Linked DNA regions of Arabidopsis thaliana. The protein of the gene in region 1 interacts with the protein of each later gene in a pairwise test. Each region holds a gene or a part of one and is shown on either strand. Other genes may lie near its edges. The genes, in order: AT3G22810 and CIPK15.

Region 1 (11,356 bases):
TTTTTACCTTAAGAGTTTTAAAATATAGTTAAAATATATGAGTTTAGAAAAATATCGATAAATATTAATAATGAAGTTTAGAAAGATTAACAATAACTCTAATATATTATTTATATTTATATTTATCTTAGCTTATGAAACTTAGATTAATTTCATCGCTACATAAAAATGACAATGATTGAAGATGGGGGTTTGATTATTCATACACTCTTTCTCTCTCTTTATTCATTACTCTCTTTTACATGTCTCTTTGACTTTGGACCACTTTACCCAAAATTCCTAAACCTAAAGACAAAAACACTCCTCACCGGTCCTGGCTAATGGGCGTCGTCCTCCCAACTCTCATCGTTTATGCTTTCCTTCTCTTCTTCTCGTCGTCCTCCGCCGCCTCTCTTCAACGTCCCAGTAAGAACCCACTTCTTTAAACTCTTTTATCTACTATCATGTTTTATCTACATAGCATAGTTTGTTTGTTTTGAAAAAAAAATCTATATGGAACCGTTTTTTCTGTATAGTTATGTGTGGAATAGGAACCTAAAAGATCTTAACTTCTAACAATTGCATACTCAACTAAGCAAAATGTTTTGTTGCTTAAACAAAAGAAGAAATGAAGGAGAAAAAGTGAAAACCCCATTTTTTGTTTCTTTTGCCTATTTACTAGTAGTCATGAATTTACTCTGTCGTTAAACCAGGTGGAGGGCTTGGGCAGGGGAAGAAGGAGATAGCTAGGTCGGGTTTACCGGGTCAGATTGTAGATCAGAAGCGGTTAGGGGGACCTGGCTCGGTGCCTCCGATGTGTAGATTGAAGTGTGGGAAATGTGAGCCTTGTAAAGCAGTTCACGTTCCGATTCAACCAGGTCTGATTATGCCACTGGAGTATTACCCTGAAGCTTGGCGCTGCAAGTGTGGCAACAAACTCTTCATGCCCTAAAACCAAAAACAGATCTTCATGACCTAACTTAATTAATTCTTCAACAATTAGTGAACTTTTTGTTAGCTTTTTCTTTTCCTCGGGATTAATTTTGTCCTCCTTACTAATTGGTTTTTACTGGTTAGCTTTGAGGCAATATTTTGTTTAAAAGTTATAATATGATCATAACAGTTTTTAACACATGGAAAAATATGATAGTAATAGTTATATATAGATATATAACCTTATCAAAAAAATGTATGATCATTACAATACACATATCATTCCTTATTAAGTGCGTTTGCCCCCCTATTTTCAGACCAACCCCTCTTGATTTATTAGTCGGCTCATGTGTTTCGGACCCATAGGTTTTAATTGGTCCCTCGATACCCATTTGCCATTAGCCATTAGGCCATTACTTGTCGTGTGTAGTAGTTTATTAATCCATTATTTAGTCTATTTTTCTTTCAGACATGTCGAACTCAAAATTTTGGAAATTCTCTTTTAAATTGTAATGTTTTTTTTTTCTGGTTGAACTACGGAGAAGATATACTTTTGGCTGTACACATATTTCTAATATCTTGTACACTATAATAACAACTGGAGCAGATTTTTGCATGAAACATATATTCTTTTGGGAAATGCTTCTAGCAATCGTGTGGTGTTGGTATGTTACGTAATGCAATGGGAAACAATTTTCTAAGTTGTGCACATAAACCAAGGCGCAGGCGTACGAAACACACGAGTTGGTCTTACACAACTTAAGCTTTTAATTTATCTTCCAAGTCAAAGTCAGTTTTTTCACATGCAAGCGGGGCCTGTTTCTACTATTTGTTCTTGCCAGATTAAGTAATTCATTAAATTGAACGGAAACAAAATTGAAAGTAAATGTAGTATATATGTACATTTAATTTCATTCAAGAGATAAGGAAATAAAGGTGAAAAAAACTGTGTATACTGTATAATGTGTGTAGCCATTTGGAATGTGTAGGTGTAGCCATTTGGAATGTGTATTCTTCTATGATTTGCTCCTAACATGTCATACGTACGAACACTAACTCAAACACATGATTGTTTTTAAAACCAAACACATGATTGGTTTTTACCACAAAAAAAAATATTTATTAGCTAGTTAAAATTTAGGTTTAACTTGGAGAAATTTTTTGGTAGATTTATAATAGATAACCTTACAAATTAACTGGGCCAGCCCAAATACACACCCAATATAGTCCATTGGGCATATGAAAAATTTCATTATGAAAAGATATACTTATTCGTTTCCAAAAACATGCATTTTAATATTTTCATTGATATATTATACTAGTCAAAAGTCAACACTATAATCATCATGAGCGTTGCCAACACCAAATGTGGACCGATGAATTCTATAACTTCAGCAAAGCCAATACATTGGATTTCTTCTAGAAGCTTGGGTTTGATGGGTTTCGGACTTACTAATGTTACATGAGCGTCAATTGTGAATCCATATGCGATGATTGTGAGCATACCTATTGGAGGACACAGTGCTATCTCACTAGTCACTAAGCTTGTATGAACATTTAGGCTGGTACCGTATTATTAAGTTAATACATGACTGCAAGAATGTGGTGTTCAATTTCAAACATGATACAAATCAAAATCAATATGGGAAATGGACCTACCAGATTACGACCTTATATAAAATTAAAAATTTGATATTAAACTTTTTTCACAAAAAAAAAATATATATACAAACACCAAGATTTGTTTCACTAGCTACCCTTATAGAGGCCACATTTAATCCTATATACCTTACAAAAAGACATTACTCTAAAGAAAACACCCTTAACTTTCTCCAAGTTATAATTTGGCCCCATAAGTTAGATATCACCCCTCAAAAAGTAGCTCTGAACTCTTAAAACTACTACTCCCTTCATATCCTATATCTGTTATTCCTCTCGGCAGCAACAGCAATAAGCCTTGAGACACCTTGTGTCCACATTTCATACTCTCTCTGGCTCTTGCACTGAAATTCTACAATCCCTCGCGGAACCGTCTTTAACCCAAAGTATCTCAAATCCTCTCCTCCTTCCAGCAAATGGCGGCCTGGCCAAGCTTGAACGTTTTTGATCACATCAATCACAACATCTGAAGTAATTTAAAAGAAGACAAAAGATCAGGCAAATAAAAATATTAAGGGAGAATGTGCAAGAGTCTTGATATTCACATCCAAAAGACAGACTAAAAACAAAAAAAGTTAAAGATGGCGTCTCCTTTTGTTTTGATCCTCTGATCACTTTAGTCCCAAAACCCTTTTGCTTTTCTTCTCAAATCCCCATATTCAAAGTAGACCCACATCAAAGTTTTGAATTCTCATATTATTGATAGTATTAGTAGATAGTGACAAAGTTAAAGCTTTCACCTTTAGTTATGTCACATTAGTATACTATGAGAATATATCAAGATTCTACTAGGTGTATGCATAATAAGGGTAAGAATTTCTCTTACTTTTGTTCTTCTTCGTGAAGGTCCCTCCTACATGCCTGCTCTTCATCTTCAATATAACCTTCATGTTCAATAACCAAATCAAAATCATAAGAATGATGCCAAGAAATGGTTTTAAGCAGAGACTAAAGCATATTACTAGATATATACATCATTCACAAAATTGCTTTCTCTTCTTTTATTGGTCTCTGAAATCACTTTTTCATGTTCTTTTTTTCTATTCTTTTAACAAAATCACACTCATGTAGGTGACTTAAAAAAGTTTCCACTGATTCACTAATAATGTATCTCACTTTAATCTTTCTTTCCTCTCTCCAAAGTTCATCAGATCACTAATATCAATGCTCAAGAAGGAATCTTACTTGATTTAGCCTGTTTATGTAAACTGAAACTATTTTCCAATGAAGATCACCTGCCACCAAAACCACAACATTAGTTAAGAAAATGGATCCAAAACCATAACAAGAGAAACACTGTTAATAGATTAGCGTTTTAACCTTTGCGGGTGCGTTTAAGAAGTTGGCCACCTCGAGCAAGCCATTCTCTATTGCAATGTCCCAAGAAATTATCCTCAACTAGAAATTCGCCACTATGACTGCTGCTTGAGCTGACATAGCTCCCGTTACCATTAACATTGCTGCAACCTCCGAGATTGATTCCTTTATCCATTGGAATAACTGATGCAATGTGCCACACCTCCTTCATAGCTCTAGCCTTCAATGTAGCCACTCCTCTTAACGCTACACCAGAAGCAAAACAAAAATGGCACTCAAGCAAAAACATGTTTTCACTAGAAACATAGTATCAATTTCTAAAACAAACTCTAAGAACCTGTGGCTGCTCCAGCGGTTAATGTCATGATATCTCCCGCAGATCGAACATTAACAGCAGAACTAACAACGGAAGCTAAATGATCCCTCTCAGCTCCCATAACTTCAGCAGCTTCCACACATTGAGCAGCCACAAGTGTTGCAGCAGAAGCCACAGCCATATCCGTCTTAGCCATATTCTCATCTTTTCCAGCACTCGACGAAGCAGCAGTTGCAGCCGCGATAGCAGCCACCGCGGCTGCCACACCAGCTACTGATACAGCAGCATGTATCTGAGCATTGTGTGCTCTCATCTCTTCCTTCTTTTTCTCCCTCCTGTCTTTCAACCACCGTCCAACTGTCTTGGACTGTGTAGTTGTTGCAGTGATAGGTCCCGGAGTTGTTCCCGTTGAACGGTATTGAGAGTTGAAATTGTTGTTTGATCGGCAAAATTGCTGCATAGAGCAAATAAAACACAACAAAATCAGATTCTGTGTTAATTCACAACAAAACGGATAAAACAAAAGAAGAAACCAAATCGAGTAAAGATTAATGCTTTATATTAAAATACACTTCAATAATTTAATAAGCAACAGCCAACAATCCATGAATCTTCATCGAAGATATCAAAAATATTACTATACTAATTAAACACAGAGTCACACATTAGCAAGCGAGATTAAAGAACCAAACATTATGAGAATGTTTTAGACCTTAATGTCGTCGACTTGATGCGGCGAAATCGGAGGACTGTCGGTTAAAGAACCATTGAGAGGACCGCTGCTATGAGAAAGCCGACCAGATGTTCGTGGCGACACTTCCTGCTGCAATAACATAATTTAAAGTTATGGCAAAAGAATTAAGAAAGAAGACAAAGAAAGAACAGTGAAATTGTTAGCTTTTTGACTTGAAGAAAACTCCAAACTTTTTTTGTGATTATGTTATAGGGTCCCATGAAAGGTGAGTGTTTTAGAAAATCATATCGATTTTATTAAGGATGATATATATGATTACAAATCATTGCGCATGAAAAATTCAACTTCGTTGAACCCACTGAAGAATTCATGATTCATGAGAATTGCGAAAGATAAAAAAAAAAAAACGTGATCTTTAGACCAAAATCGTGCTTAACTCATGAAATTGTAATGACCCATCGATAGAATTGAGTAAACATAGAATCAAATTGACGAAATTAAGAGAATTGAGACAGAACAGAACAGAATTTTTTTGTCTGCAAATGCTCTGTTTTTTAGGAAAGCGTTATGAAACACTTACAGACTGAGATAAGATACGATCCATGACCATCTGAGAAGTTTCTGAGCAAGCGAAGGAGAAAGGGTTTCCGGAGACGAAGCTGTTGTCCTCCGTTTCGGTCTCGCCGGCGGCGATGGGTTCTTCGAGAATGACGGTGGTGTTTTCGATTGAGGCTTTTGAGAGGAGTTGCTGAGAAGGAGTGAGAGCTTTGGAGACTTCGTGAGCTGATACGCTCCAGGAGCGAGAGAGAAACTCCATCGGCTCTAATGGTGTCTCCGGTGGCCGGAAAACTTGGTCGGAACGCCATGGTGCAAACACTGGTTTCTCCATTTTACAGAGAGAAAGAGAATGTTGAGAGATGGAAGAGAAAGATGTGAATGGCTGCAATTTGTTTTGTGATATACTGATATGTGACAACGAGAGAGATGGAGAGGGAGAGTAATGTATGAAAGTCACAGCTTTTTTCCTCTTCTCTGCTTCAATGCTTTGCTTTATTACTCTTCCTCTTAAAAAGAAAATTTTGATATTTAAAGGTAATAAATACGATATTTTTATCTCTTAATTTGCTTGTAATTTATTTATTTTTTTGTAACTTAATACACTCTTATCTTGCTGTCAAAAAAAAAAATATACATATATATACACACTCTTATCTCACTTTTATACGCTTTTATATAGTATATGTTTTATCCTATATATATATATACACATACAAAAACAATTTCATTTTAAAATAATATAATCAATAATAATAAAAAATTGAAATAAATTTAACTTTCCAAAAAACTTTAAGAAACACAAATAAAAAAAAATCCAAAAACCTCATATATTTGGAAACCTAGTTTAAGAAATAGTTTTTATTTCATCAAAATTAACATATGTTCCCAAAAAAAAAGTGTAAACCAATTATTTAACATAGTCCTATGAGTATGATTACAGTAATTAATCACGGTAATTTTGATTTAACTTTAATCTTTACTTTACAGTTTTACACAAATAATTTTATAAAACAAATGAATAGAAATACTGAAATGAGAATTTAAGGAGACTCTGACTTCTATCTTAAAGGAGTGATAAATGGAAAGAAGACATAAATGATAAGGGACCTCATGAGTCCATGATGAGTGACCTGCAAAAATGTGGCGACTCCATCATTATTGAAATATTGGCAGGAGAGAAAGGTGTGCCAAACTTCCATCATTCCATGGATCCCTGTTAACATTAAAAAAATTTGGTATATTTTGTTATGACCATGACTTGGTTCAACGCTTTATATGTATGGTTTGATTATATGTATGGTTTAATTTGATAAGTAAGTTCAAGTGTATATATACATTCATTTGTTAAATATTCAATAATATATCTAATTTCATAATTTAGATTATGTTTTTTTTTTAAGAAAAAAACTCAACGTAAAATCAAATAAAGCCACGAATTAGCGTTACAGTTTGACAAAAAATTAATTTAGAACGAAAAATCTATAAAATCAATTACGTTTCGAACTTTTATCTACGAATAACGGATTGGCGTTACAGTTTAAAAAACAAATAAATTAATAAAAAAATAAAGGCGTTACCGTCTTCAAAAAAATATTATAATAAAGAGATTTTTTTTTTGATATTTAATAAACAACAAAACTAAAAAAAAATATGAGCATTTAAAAAAAATCTCTAACCAATACATAACTAAACTGAATTTCTTACAAATAATTTATTTTTTCGCACAAAAAAACAAATAATTCATTTTTGATTTATTGTACATTTAAAGAAAGGAAATCAACTAAGTATTGTGTGTTGTAATCTGTAAAGCCAATTCTATCTAAATATGAATTATGGAAAGAAAAAAATAAAAAACAAATTACCGTTTTCATGTATAACTTTCTTTATGTAGCCGACACTAGAGTTCATTTTTGACTCCCATTATTGAACTTTCTTACCCTTCTTTGATATAGATTCAACCTAAATCTGAAATATTATATTGTAGTATCTCCTATCCGGGAATATATAGTCTGTTTGACAATTTTATTGTTTTTCTTATATTGCTTTAATGAAACTCCATCTTCTCTAACAACTCAATTATATCGGAAACTTATAAGAAGTCATAACTTCCAACTTTATTTTGAGACTCGATTCAAATCAGGTTTCTTTGACATGAGTGTCAACAAACATTGTCAAAAGGCCACAAACATTACTTATTGACACATTATTTTTTGTTTTGGTGACAGAAAATAGCATGATACAATCTCACATGGCTCGCATCAACGGCATAGGACGGACCCACAGTTCTGTATCTGAACCTGATGGTTGGTCTGGACTGGACCAGACCGAAGAGCTCGCTACAGAAAAAGGTACGAGATGACACCTCCAGAGAGTGGAGGTGTGTAGGGTAGTGGACAAAAGGGATAACCTCAGCAGAATTTGTCTCATTTGGTTAAAGAGAGAGTAGTAATTCTTGATGTGGATACCACTCACCCTTTCGTATTAACTTTCACGTGTTTATCATCTTGACTGTTTTATAAGTATCAACTTTAAAAACTATACAACATTTTTGTTACGAATTTTATTGTGATTTATTAAGATAACGATATGCTTTTTTCAAATGAAGCTTAATTGTTGATTGTTTTCCGAGAGTGGCTATATTCGTCAATTGTAATTCTTTTGTAGAAGCCGTGATCAGTAGAACTAGAAGTAGTCCACCATTGTACTATATATTCATGTCATTATCTAGTTTGTGTAAACGTAGCGAATTGTGATCACGTTATAAAGTTGTCGAAAAGATATATGGCACTATGAAGCTGGATTGGATCACAAAAATCTTTGGGGCCGCTTGATGAGCTAAACCTTGGGCGAAACCAATTCAATTTCTTTTCAAGAATATATGTAGAAAAGCCCACTAAACTAATGTGTGACACCATTGAAAAGACATTGGACCAAAAGAACCCAACTTTTTTTGGGCAAACATTACAACTTTTCTTAGGATTAGTTTGTATTGTAGCGACATTAAGTCCGTTAACAAGTTAATAAAGTGTTAAGTGCACGAAAGTTTTAAGAAACTCATTTTTTTCCACAACCAAGTGGAGATAATATCAATATACATTGTATTATGGATGAATGTGATGTCAGTATGAATCTTTGGTAGTTAATCGCAGATTGTGATAAGTGTTTGACCTAGCTTAGCCATCGAACTTGATTTTGAAGAAATCTTCAGATCAACAGAAAAAAGAATCTCAAGTGGCTTGGTAACTAAAATATATATAATAGTTGCGTATACGTGTACAAACGTATAAACATACGTATATACGGAAGTCAAAAGCATCGATATTAACTACACGCCAACCCTCAAAATAAATTCAGTACATGAAAGCTAAAAACATTACGATCCTCAGGTGATTATTAATCCTGTGATTAATCTCAAAATTAAATTGTTTAAAGAGCTTTTCCTAAAATGATATTGAGTCACAAATAGTAAAGACCACTAGTTTTCTGAGAACAAGTTGTCTTAATTAAAGTAAAGAACAAGGGAAAGATTTTGTTTCTGTCCAAATCCACAGTTTTCAACATTTGGTTTGTTTTCAAATATGTTTTCATGCTTTTTAGGAATATTGATATTATAATTAGACAATAATGATCTAAAAGTTTACTAAAACCGTGTTTCTGGTGGTAATTAATTAAACAAGTAACAACCATCCGATGATTTATAAATGCCCCCCATGAAACTATGAATTTATATATTACATGGTTATGTGCTGGATCGTGTTAACGGAGTAACACTTGTGTCGAAGAAACGAGGCAATTGTCGTAGACCTACTTACTAAACAATCCATTTTATAATCCACATTCGTGTACTGTTTCAACAGTGATACTAACACATGTAGCTCGAGAGTTCATATCCCAATATTGTCATTAATGGTTTATTCAGGAGTTACAATGATTTTTGGCTTTATATAATTTTTCAAAAGCAACTTTTTGGATGACTTAAACATATTTTGTTGAAATTTAAACTTTGGATATGTGATATTATTTGACCATTAGAAGTGTTAATATTTTTTCCAATTTGATTTCTACAAGAAGTGGATACACAGAGATTAGAAAACTATAGATGCATTATTATGGATCAAAGAACATTCTTTTGCTAATTCTGACCTTCTCTACCAAACCAACAAAAGTCAAATCAATGCTGTACTGTCACCCAATATATGTAAATTCTTTTTCAAAAACTTATCAATCATCAAATTTGAATTAATCATCGTTATAAAATAGTAATTAAAAAATTGAACACACTATAAACAAAGACTGACTCTCTTCAAGAATAACCATTCTCATCTACAATTATTTTCCAACATCAACATATAACTTTTCAAAGGAAGTGGTTACACCCCCATTGTGTATACATATGTAACCTTGTACTCCCATTTCCACAACACAAAACAACCTCAAAAACTCATTAGTCATGAGAGAAGACACCTTCTTCTTCCAGTGGTGGTTCTTGGTCTCTGGTCTCAGCTTCATCTTCCTTCTTCCTCAAGCTTTCACCTACCATACTCCTCCAATAAACCCGTGCTTCGCTCATCCTTTTCTTCCTCCTATCACAAACCCGAGGCTCTTAAAAGCTTTCACAGCTCTTCAAGCTTGGAAGTTCACCATAACCTCTGACCCAAACGGCTTCACTTCTAACTGGTGCGGTCCTAATGTTTGTAACTACACAGGCGTGTTTTGTGCACCGGCTCTAGATAACCCTTATGTCTTAACCGTCGCTGGTATAGACTTGAACCATGCTAATATCGCCGGTTATCTCCCTTTAGAGCTTGGTCTCTTAACCGATCTTGCCTTGTTCCATATCAATTCCAACCGTTTTCAAGGTCAACTTCCCAAAACTCTAAAATGTCTCCATCTTCTCCATGAGCTTGACGTCAGCAACAATAAACTCTCCGGCGAGTTTCCTTCCGTAATCTTCTCTTTGCCTTCCTTGAAGTTTCTCGACATTAGGTTCAATGAGTTCCAAGGTGATGTTCCTAGCCAACTCTTTGACCTAAACCTCGACGCTCTCTTCATTAACGACAACAAATTCCAGTTTAGGTTACCGAGAAACATCGGAAACTCTCCGGTTTCTGTTCTTGTCTTGGCCAACAACGATCTCCAAGGATCTTGTGTACCTCCAAGTTTCTACAAAATGGGGAAAACATTACACGAAATCATTATCACGAACTCACAACTAACCGGTTGTTTAAACCGGGAAATCGGTTTGCTTAACCAGTTGACGGTTTTCGACGTGAGTTACAACAACTTGGTGGGTTCGTTGCCGGAGACTATAGGTGATATGAAGAGTTTAGAGCAGTTAAACATTGCGCATAACAAATTCTCCGGCTACATTCCGGAGAGTATCTGCCGATTACCAAGGCTCGAGAACTTCACTTACTCGTATAACTTCTTCTCCGGTGAGCCACCGGCTTGTTTGAGGCTTCAAGAGTTTGATGATCGTAGAAATTGTTTACCTTCAAGGCCAATGCAACGGTCTCTCGCTGAATGCAAATCCTTTTCTTCTTATCCTATTGATTGTGCATCCTTTGGCTGCTCTCCACCTAGTCCACCGCCTCCTCCTCCTCCTCCTCCACCTCCACCTCCACCTCCACCTCCACCTCCACCTCCACCTCCACCTCCACCACCGCCACCATATGTGTATCCTTCGCCGCCGCCACCACCTCCATCACCTCCACCATACGTGTATCCACCGCCACCGCCACCATATGTGTATCCTCCACCGCCATCACCACCATATGTGTATCCTCCGCCACCACCGTCACCGCAACCATATATGTATCCTTCACCTCCTTGTAACGATCTTCCAACGCCGGTGCATTACTAAGGCTTCTTTTGACCGAGTGGGATGCAATAGTTGAAAC
Region 2 (10,839 bases), on another chromosome or scaffold:
CAGTTACATTTTTACACGGAACCATCCATATACAAAAAGACACACTTGCCAAAAGCTATACTTAAATTATCAAAGTTTTAGTCATGCACTTTAAACCAAAGTGAATGCGACAGTTACTATAATAATCTTCTGATCAATTTACGTAACTCTTGTAACTGTTCATTGCTCTTATTTAACAAAAAGGTAAACGTATTATATGATTCGGAGTTGCATTACCGACACAAACTGATTAAATATTATAATAATAAGACGATGGAACACAAAATAAACTAATATATGAAAAACATTTTATAAAATTTCAACGTTTTATTTTCCAAATTTTGCAGCGGAATTAGCAGAGGAAACATCTGCGGATTCCGAAGCAGGAAGTGGATTGTGATCTCTGAATTGGGTAGTCAGCAGAAGAGTCGAAGGATGAAAATCTTCGCATGACATTCCTTTCTGTTTGAAACTTGAACAGATCGTACTCATTTTCGTCGATCAACACTCTCTCCGACAGAGATGGTGGTGATGAAGCCGACAGTTTCTTAGCCTTACCATTGTGATCGCCCGATAGCCAGAAGAGCCTTGTCGGGATTAGTGCGAGGATTTTCTTGGTGGACTTTTTGGAACGGCGGCGGATTTGGTCGCCGGAGAAAGAGAAATGAGACGGCGGAGGAGTGAGAGGTGGCAGAGTAGGTAGCTCAGAGGAGGGGTGTTTGGGTGTGCCTGGATGAGATTCCCATTCGAAAGGGACGGCACCGGCGGCTCCGTCGTAGTAGTAGATTCTAAAGGAAGGACAAGCAGCTGATACCGACGAAAAACGTTGTTTGGTCGACGGTAGCTTACCGGAGAAGGTGGCGGTGTCTTGCTTTTTCAGTGAGAGTGAAGCTGCCCGCTCAGATCCCGCGTTTGGCATTATTGTCTTGGGAGAGTGAGAGAGAGAGAGGGAAGGAAAGAGAGGGAGAGATGTGTGCATGAGACATATGGAGTCAATCTATCATGTATATATGGGTGCCTGGTGTCTTTGGTACGGTTTTTACTTTTGGGCTTATTTGTTTGGCTTTGGTGTCTATAGAAACTATATATTAAAAGCAAAATGTAATAATTAATGATAGTGAAATAATAGTTTCAATAGTGCGGTTAATTAGCTCTCATAGTTAGAACTTATAAAGATACATCTCGAAGTGTGTTGGTCCAATCCTACAAAGGCAATAACCACTCGATGGATATATAAAGTCATCACAACTTATTAGACCCTTGAACACTAAGTAATGCTACCGGGTACAAAAGAAAACACTCACATATGAATAATGAGGAGATCTAAATACGTCATACTCAAGGCAAGATATTTGTATCACATGTATATAGCAATTAACGATTCATCCATGAGAATATTTACATTACAAGCCAACATATACATAACTTCAACACAAACATGTCATTGATGAGTAGATTTTATTAAGAAAGGTGTGGTTATTGTAGAAGCATTTATTTGGAGAGTAGATAGGACCATTGATGAAAACAATATGAATTGAATAATTGGTTTTTATCTGATTAAATTGGAAAACAGTGTATGACTAAACGAGCCACGACCCATGCATTCCTACATGTGCTCCACATACCTCCGAGCATTGCTTTCCTTAGTATATACACACTGATAGACCCCATGGTCGGTCCATTCTTTTGCATTAATATCTTTCATGTGATATTCATATACTCGCTCCCCTCATCAGAATTTACATCTCTTCGTTAAAGGTTAAACAAGAAGACATAATTACATTTTCTTCCGTCCATTAAAGAAAAATGAGAGATTTTTTTTTTAAAAAATTGAAGGTCTTTAAAGTATTGAGAACCGTGACCTATTTATAAGGTTTAAAACCAACAACCAAATTTCTCATTTGTTGGGTTGTGAAAGATAATTTGGCGAATATCATACAAATGCGATTAATTACGGTTTAAACATCTCCATTAAGGTATTGACAGTATCAAAATAAGGAGAAGAAAATGGAACAAACAATTTTGTCCAGAGGTGTATAAACTTGGAGTATCATATTCTTATAGCAGATGAAATAAAATACTAGTTAGTTTATTTGTTTGGAAAACAAAATAGGTAATGTGAATATAGATTTTAAAAGTAATTTTGATACTACAGCCCTTTAATTAGATTGAAAATAATAATAATAATAAAGAAAGGACCAATCATATGTTTGACAAAAAAAAGGGCCAATCATATAATTCTGTTACCATGGATCTAAATGAGAGGAGACTCTTGCTTTTTCACAAAAAAAAAGAAAAAGAGAGAGAGAGCAGCAACCCCAGCAGCATCGAAGATCGTCGATCGTCGATCGGTTGCTCTCTTTCATTAATCAGATCTAATTGATACCCAAGCTTCTTCATCGGAGGCCGTGTAAGCTAGCTTCTTCTTCTTCATCTTTTCGTACACTTATTTGATTGTTGTTTATGTATCGATTCTATGGAATAAGAGCTTTTAGCACATATTAATTTGTCCCCAGTCTCGTCGTATATGCAGACCTATTTAGCGCTTATGGTTTGATTTAGATCTGTTTAATTTAGCGTTTCAACCTAAAATTGTTGACAACTCAAAATCGGAATCCCCCAAAAAGTGTCTGTTGACTTATGAATATGGCCATCTCCAAATCGGTTTTTGATCCATCATCATTAAATTTGGTAATATATAGATCTCACGAGGAAACATGGGCGGTAGATTTGGAGTCCTCCTAGTCCTCTTCCTCTTGAGCTGGTCTTGTCATGCTACAAACCCGATTCTTCTCGAACCATTCGGTAAGAACATTTTTGAAGGCATCTAGAGTCTCTCTTGCACCTGTTTCTAATTCAAATTTGTTAAAATCTGTTCACTGGATTATTTGAATACGTTACGTTTTCAGAAAGCATTCAATCTGATATAGACATCCTGATGTATGTTTTTTTTTTTAATTGGGTTTAAGAAGTTTGCTCCATATAATATTTGTGTTGATCTCCTATGTATGATTGTTTCGTTTGCAGAATCAGCTCATGATGACAACCAAGTCTGTGAACTATGTGACAAGTATGTCACGCTAGTCATTGATTACCTTCAAGACTACGACAACCAGAATGAACTCGTTGAGGCCCTTCATATCAGCTGCTCTCAGATTCCTCCTCTCAAAAAACAGGTCTTCATTGAGTCCTTGGTTGTTTTTGCTTTCTCTATTCCTTTTCTCAGACGTGGTTATATGTTAACTATGCCCAACTCATGTGTTTGTTGCAGTGTCTTTCAATGGTAGATCATTACACCCAACTTTTCTTCACACAAGTCTCTACTATCAAATCAGACCAAATCTGCAAACGGCTTAACCTCTGTCAAGCTGTGACACCGGCCTTTGCCTCTCAAGTCCATCAAGGAAACTGCGAGGCTTGCCGCGAGACTGTCTCTGAGGTTGTCACCAAACTCAAGGATCCTGAGACTAAGGTTTGCTCAACCTTCATTCCTTCTATTATCACATACCTATTCTGTGTCGCAAACCTTAGGCTTAGCACTAAGAATTATATCAGTTAGAGATATTTATTATTGCTGCTGAAGATTGACTTTTGCCTTGTGAATGTTGCAGCTGAAGATAATTCGGTTACTTCTCAAGGAATGCAAGTCGCTTAACAATTACCAGGACAAGGTAGCTAACTAATAAAGAATGCCCGCAAAGCTCTCTCTATTTAAGCTGAGTTTTGTGATACTTTTATGGATCATCATCAGATAATAACAATGTGTTTGTTTATGATGGTGAATAGTGCAAGAAGATGGTATTCGAGTACGGGCCTCTGATGCTTACGGATTTGCAGAAGTTTCTGGAGAAGAAAGACGTGTGCACTATCCTCCACGTCTGTCCAGGTCCAGCCACCCACCGTGACTACGTTCCTGCGGTGGAGTCATTGGCAGATTCGTAAATTCGGCCACCTTGGTTTTGTCGTCATTCACACTAATACCATGCCATGATCGTGATGCTAATTTAATTTGGTAACCCGGTGGTCATGTAAATACTGATTGATATATTAAAAACATAACTACACGATTGATGATTCTTGTGTGATTTGAAAAGAACGCTGTCTAAAGGCCCATTGTCCATCGATGGGCCTTTTTGCTAATTTCTACATTGCCCATGTTGTGTAGTCTGATTTTCGCTAAAACGTTACGTTGATGCGTGTACTCAATCACTCGCCCACCATTTTCTTCTGTGAAACAGTTGGCAAAAGTTAGGGGCCGCCAAGCTGGTTTAAACTGACCCACAAGCGAATAAATGTCAGACACGTGTAAAGGACAAAGAGAGCAAGTGTCACCGTATCTATAAAAGCTAACATTAGAGGATATTCTTGCTTACGTGTGACATCGTCACTGGTACATATCATCTAAAGGAATCTTTGATCAACACTACTCTGGAAAACAAATTGTATACTATTTATAAATCTGTTGACTGTATGTATATTCAGAATTATGTGATTGATTGACTAAAAGCGACTGATTTTTAACCTTTTATAATACAAACAGAACAGTGTACATATCCAATGTAGTGAAACAAATCCTTTTATTGGGAAATAAAATTAATTTTGTAAATGAAAATTTCGTTAAAACAAACCTTAATGCTTATCGTATATTTATTTAGCTTGAAAACTAAAGAAAAGATGTAAAAAAAAAAGAACTAAGTTTGGTTAGTGTGTGTAATGACGATGAAAGATGATGAGAAGTGATAACTTATTTTAAGGGCTAAGAACAACAACAAAGTTGATTATTAGAAGAAAGAAATAATTAAAAAGCAAATTGCAAACAGCGAAAAGAGAGATGATGACAAAAAATGGTTAGTAACGGCCAAAAGGTAAACAGGTTGGCTGCTCTTTGTTTCCATTAAAATTAGTAAAAATTCCGAGAATGGCATTTTCGCAATTCATAGATATCATCAACTTGTGTGTTTGTTGGCCGATTATAATATAAAGGAAGGGAAACTCTTCTTCTCTTTCTTCTCATTTTCTCTCAATTCCTCGCAGCTGAAGCTATTTGGCATATACTTGTCTTCGCTTTTCGTAGCTCTTTCGCGCATAATAATAACTGAGGTAATTGTTCGATTCTGGTTCGCAGCGGATTTTGTCGATGCTATTGAGGAATCTAGATTTCTGTGATGGATAGATATAAGACATATCTTATGTCTCTGTTCCGATTCGATCTGTTTGTTTCGTTCCTAGTTCGATCTACTTAGATTTCGTCCCATGTTTATAGCTCTCAATCGCTTTGAATCTTGTCTTTAGTGTTCGATTTTCTGGTGTTTAATTAGGAGCAAACTAGATAGGCCTTCTTTGTTGATCCTGTCATTAATGGTTTGCTCTCTATGTTTCAGGTTGTTGTTTAATCAAGAAGAGTGTGCAAAAATTGGAAGGCCAGGGAATGCAGAAACATGTATTTGAAAGCTGAACTCAATTGCTCTACACCACCCTCTCAGATCCTTTGTCCCTTTGGGCCCTTGTTCTCCCTCATCCCTTATGTGGACACCCATTTTCTAAACCCCTGCTTCCACACCTTCCAGCCTTCCTCTCACAATGCTAGAAAAAACGCCACTTGGAAGCATGATCTTTGCGAAGACGGTTGATCCGACACTAACAGCCTCCTCCTGAGTTCCTCCTCTACCCTTTATGTTGTCTGCGTTTTAGTATATTCTAGGGTGGTCTTTTTATTTAGTGGTATTAGTAGTGCTCTAAGCTAACCAGTTAGTCAATGGAGAAGAAAGGATCTGTGTTGATGCTCCGTTATGAGGTTGGGAAGTTTCTCGGTCAAGGTACCTTTGCTAAGGTATACCATGCTAGGCATTTGAAAACTGGTGATAGTGTAGCGATTAAGGTCATCGACAAAGAAAGAATCCTCAAAGTTGGCATGACCGAGCAGATTAAGCGAGAGATCTCTGCCATGAGACTCTTGAGGCATCCCAACATCGTTGAGCTCCATGAAGTCATGGCCACCAAATCTAAAATCTACTTCGTCATGGAACATGTTAAGGGTGGTGAGCTCTTCAACAAAGTGTCAACTGGGAAGCTGAGAGAAGACGTTGCGAGAAAGTACTTTCAGCAGCTTGTACGCGCTGTTGACTTCTGTCACAGCCGTGGAGTATGCCACAGGGACCTGAAGCCGGAGAATCTCTTGTTGGATGAGCATGGGAATCTTAAGATCTCTGATTTTGGTCTCAGCGCTCTTTCTGACTCTAGAAGGCAAGACGGGTTGCTGCATACTACATGCGGGACCCCTGCATATGTTGCACCGGAGGTGATAAGCAGGAACGGGTATGATGGGTTTAAAGCGGATGTGTGGTCCTGTGGAGTGATATTGTTCGTCTTGCTCGCTGGATATCTTCCTTTCCGTGATTCCAATCTGATGGAGCTGTATAAGAAGATAGGCAAAGCTGAAGTCAAGTTCCCCAACTGGCTTGCTCCGGGGGCAAAGAGATTGCTCAAGAGGATCTTGGATCCTAACCCCAACACAAGGGTATCAACTGAGAAAATAATGAAGAGCTCTTGGTTCCGTAAAGGCCTACAAGAGGAGGTGAAAGAATCAGTTGAGGAAGAGACAGAAGTGGACGCAGAGGCAGAGGGAAACGCAAGTGCAGAGAAGGAAAAGAAGCGGTGTATCAACCTGAACGCGTTTGAGATCATATCTCTGTCCACGGGGTTTGATCTCTCGGGACTGTTCGAGAAGGGAGAGGAGAAGGAGGAGATGAGGTTTACATCAAACAGAGAGGCATCTGAGATAACAGAGAAGCTGGTGGAGATTGGGAAGGACCTTAAGATGAAAGTGAGGAAGAAGGAACACGAATGGAGGGTGAAAATGTCGGCTGAGGCTACAGTGGTGGAAGCGGAAGTGTTTGAGATTGCGCCGAGCTATCACATGGTGGTGCTAAAGAAGAGCGGTGGAGATACTGCTGAGTATAAGAGAGTCATGAAGGAGAGTATAAGACCGGCTTTGATCGACTTTGTATTAGCTTGGCACTGAAACATATTCTATCCTTTTTATGTGTCTTCTTCTTTTAGAATGTTTTTCTTGTTTTGTTTTGCCAATGTGTTTAGTTTATGTATTTTCTCTTGAGTCTCATCTTAAGACGTGTTTCGTATTTTTCTAGGTGTCAGTGTAACAATAATAATATGTGAGGACCAATTATATAGTTTGAGACAAAATAAGTAGATTTCTTTATCAGATAAAATAAAATAAATTGAGCCTTAATGAAATAAGCCAATAGACCGACAACGGTTTTAGGAAGCATTATACTACTATTTTGTAGTTATTTCGTATTATTGTAGTCTTTTGGATGATCTTTTTGTGTATTAACAAAGTCAAAACAAATTTATAATTTAACTTACGTTACAGAATTTGTTAATGGTGTGTTTTCTTCTTCTATTTTTTTGGTAAGAAATGGTGTTAAAAAAATGAGAAAAAGAATCCAATGGTAAGATTAGTGTTCATACATGTATTGGAAAATGACAAAGTGTCTTTATTGGTTGGATGATTGTGATTGGGCCAATTCGAGAAGACGACTAAAATGGACAAGCTCATTGAATTCACGGCCTCCAGTGGACCACGTTGGCCCATAATCGGATATACACCATACATTTATCAGTTGGTCAAATCAAAACCTTTTATCATAGAGTGCAGAGTATATTTTTCTAAGGGTTTTGCTTAATCCGCTATCTTTTAGTGGGCCAACAACTACAAATTGGATTGAAGGAGAACCAAGGAAACCACCCAATTTAAGACTCTTGTCTTTTCGTAATCTAACCAACATAACGTGCTCGTCAGATTTTTGCATTTGTGTGTTTCCTACTTTTCCTTTTATGCTCAACAGGATAATTAGTTACATATAACCACAATTAAGGAATTAATTAAAGCATATTAAGTGCTTTAAAAGTGTACGATGTGATTGTGTATATAGTAAATTGGATAATATATAGATCGTGGAGCCTACAATTATTGCATTGAAAAGGTGATATATATGTTGATTACAGTAATTATAACTGCTGAAGCTGAAATTAATGGATTATGGATGATTGGATTCAATGTGGATACCAAGAAAAGAAAATGATTGATGAGAATTATTGGTGTATGATCTTATATCACAGCCACATGCGATAGGATTATATAAAGTCCACTAGCTATATATCTATTTTAATAGTATATTTTTACAATGATGTGATAAGGACAACCTCTTACTTATCAAAAAGGTGAAAGTAGATCAGTTGTGTTAGTTCATGGCTCAAATCTTGACACTTCTTTTTACATAATGACAAAATTAATAGCAGAAGAAGACTGTGTTTTATGAGTTGTTAAAAATTACATCTATATGTATGTTAAATATCATGTTGAATAGTTAACTAATCCTTAAGTAATGGTTAAGTTAGAGTGTCTTGTACACATAGCATTACTTCACATCCACGATACGTTACTAATGTATTATAGTGGCCATTTAAAACAAGTAATACATTTTTTTATATTTTATTTTTCATTTATATAAAATATAATTATGATTACATAACAAGAAGATACATACTTGCCAACTAAAAATTAAGATTTGTCGAGAAATTTCCTGAATAATTATGTCAGAGATATTCTCCGGGTAAAAAAAAAAGCAATTACATATAACCCGGGATATTTTTTTTTAATTATTATTTGGATAATTTATTTGACAGATACCTAAACTACGACGTCGTATGTACTTGAGTTGGTTCTGGGTCCGTTTGGTCTGATTCGTGCACAAGCTCGACGAAGAAAGGCCTGAGTGTATCTGTCCATAAATCTCGTCCAGATGCAGCGGCTCTTTGTCTCTTCCTCACCTCTATCATAACCAGCTCGTCCGTTAGCTGGTTTATCTCAACCACCATTGCGAAGTTACCTTTTTGCCCCTCGATCTTCATCCCCCATGTTTCCTTCTTCGCCACCGTCAGATTCTCCGCCGACACGATCTCCTCCAGCCTCTCCACCACCCTCTCCGCCGTCCACGCCGACACGAACCGTTCCACTCGGTCGTACTTTCTGGCGTCTCCGAAAAGACCGGAGAGATTGAACCCTGGAGATCCTGAGATGATGTCGAATGCGTTCATCCTCCTTGCTCCCATCTCGCTGTCGGTCTCGTCCGCCGGGAGTTTCATATCGGAGTCCTCTAGATGGAATTTAGACATCCGATCGTCGTAGCCCTGTTTGAACCATGGATCGTGGATGATCTCTTCGATAGTGATCCTCGTCTGCGGATTCGTGTCTAAAAGCCGAGTCAGCAGTCGCCGGAGATCCGGTGAGGTCCACTTGGGAATGCGAAATTCTCCCTTGTAGATTTTCCGGTACATAACCATGAGATTATGGTCGTTGAAAGGGAGATAACCGGCGTTGAGGACGAACAGTATGATTCCACATGACCATATGTCGATTTTAGCACCGTCGTACCCTTTCTTCGCCAAAACCTCAGGCGCCACGTACGCCGGCGTACCACAGAGTGTGTGGAGGAGGCCGTCGGGTCGGATCTGATCGGTAAGAGCGCTGAGTCCGAAATCAGAGATCTTCAAATCGAGCTTCTCGTCGAGGAGGAGATTCTCCGGTTTGAGATCACGGTGAAAGATGCCGCGGGAGTGGCAATATCCGACGGCGGAGATGAGCTGCTGGAAATAACGACGGCTAAGATCCTCGCAGAACCTGCCCTTGGAGACTTTGGCGAATAGCTCACCGCCCTTGGCGAATTCCATGACGAAGAAGATCTTGGATTTGGTGGCGAGGACCTCGAACAGGCGCACGATAGAAGGGTGGCGCAGACGGTGCATGATAGCGATCTCTCTCTGAATGTTGCCATTGAGTCCTCCTTTCTGCAGCCGTTGCTTGCTCACCACTTTGATCGCAACGCTCTGACCCGTCGCTGTGCTCCTCCCGTGGTACACTTTCGCGAAGGCGCCGCATCCCACCAATTTTCCGACCTCGTATTTGCCGAAGAGCTGTCCACGGCGGTTCTCCGGCGGAAATTCCACCGGGTCAGAATCTACCATTAAAAACAGAATCTGCTAGGTCAATTATGGTACACAGAAACTGAGGTCATTGCGAATGAATCAACGCCGTAGAAAAAAAAGAAAAGAAGTCTGAGAGAGAGAGTGTTGTTATTAATAGAAGAAGCGAAAGGAAAATTAGTAGTTTGAAAAGTAAAAAGATATGAACAAAAGTAACAGATATTTAGAGAGATCTGTTAGCAGAGAAAACAAAAGAGAGACAGACAAATTGGGAGGATTCGGATAAGAGATAAGCCATGCTCTGTATCGAGTTGTTACATATATATTACTGTCTTGAGGTAGGAGATGAGGGTATTTTTGTCAATTACTATCAGATTCTTTTTCCTTATTTTCTTCTTCTTTATTTTCTTTGTAAAGACGTGGGAGATTTTCTGTTTTGTTTTCTTAATATATCTATTAAAAAAAGAAGAAGAAGAAGATGAAGATGTGGACAAGAAGTTGAATTAGAACCATACAGGTGTCCCGTCGCTGTTGTCGTGTTGATTTGGTATCTCCGAGGGTTTAGGCTGTAGAATATACTCATTTCACACATATACGCTTCGTCGTATCTTCGGCTATTTGCTATAATATTATTATTACAAGAACATATAAACATGTTTCCTCCAATATTGTTGAATATTATTATTTTATGGTCAACTCAAAACGGAGAATTGTTCTTTCGACTAGCCTAGGCAGCTAGCTCTAGTTAGTTAGTAATTCAGCTAACCACTGCTTTGTTTAGTCATCAATCGTGGTTAAGTCCTTTGAACATCCAAATTCCCCTTATTAGTATTAGTTCAAGTCTCATTTTGAGCA

The links.
Region 2: the proteins of AT3G22810 (region 1) and CIPK15 interact in a two-hybrid assay, tested with the Arabidopsis thaliana proteins (one large-scale study listed by BioGRID).

Annotation. Positions count from the first base shown.
Region 1 is NC_003074.8:8,063,026-8,074,381, reverse strand, and holds AT3G22810 (auxin canalization protein (DUF828)), read right to left. Parts: upstream 5,965-11,356; 5' UTR 5,788-5,964; coding exon 5,479-5,787; intron 5,028-5,478; coding exon 4,917-5,027; intron 4,893-4,916; exon of another isoform or gene 4,665-4,892; coding exon of another isoform or gene 4,659-4,664; coding exon 4,226-4,658; intron 4,135-4,225; coding exon 3,892-4,134; intron 3,807-3,891; coding exon 3,757-3,806; intron 3,456-3,756; coding exon 3,398-3,455; coding exon of another isoform or gene 3,360-3,397; exon of another isoform or gene 3,038-3,359; coding exon 2,823-3,037; 3' UTR 2,587-2,822; downstream 1-2,586. Other genes in the region: CLL1 (allergen-like protein), read left to right, coding at 321-405, 693-931; AT3G22800 (Leucine-rich repeat (LRR) family protein), read left to right, coding at 9,907-11,319.
Region 2 is NC_003076.8:304,726-315,564, forward strand, and holds CIPK15 (CBL-interacting protein kinase 15), read left to right. Parts: upstream 1-4,648; 5' UTR 4,649-5,079; intron 5,080-5,360; 5' UTR 5,361-5,734; coding exon 5,735-7,000; 3' UTR 7,001-7,372; downstream 7,373-10,839. Other genes in the region: AT5G01790 (uncharacterized protein), read right to left, coding at 332-958; AT5G01800 (saposin B domain-containing protein), read left to right, coding at 2,697-2,784, 3,007-3,155, 3,251-3,451, 3,591-3,650, 3,766-3,921; SR1 (serine/threonine protein kinase 1), read right to left, coding at 8,698-10,026. UniProt on the Arabidopsis thaliana protein: CIPK serine-threonine protein kinases interact with CBL proteins. Binding of a CBL protein to the regulatory NAF domain of CIPK protein lead to the activation of the kinase in a calcium-dependent manner.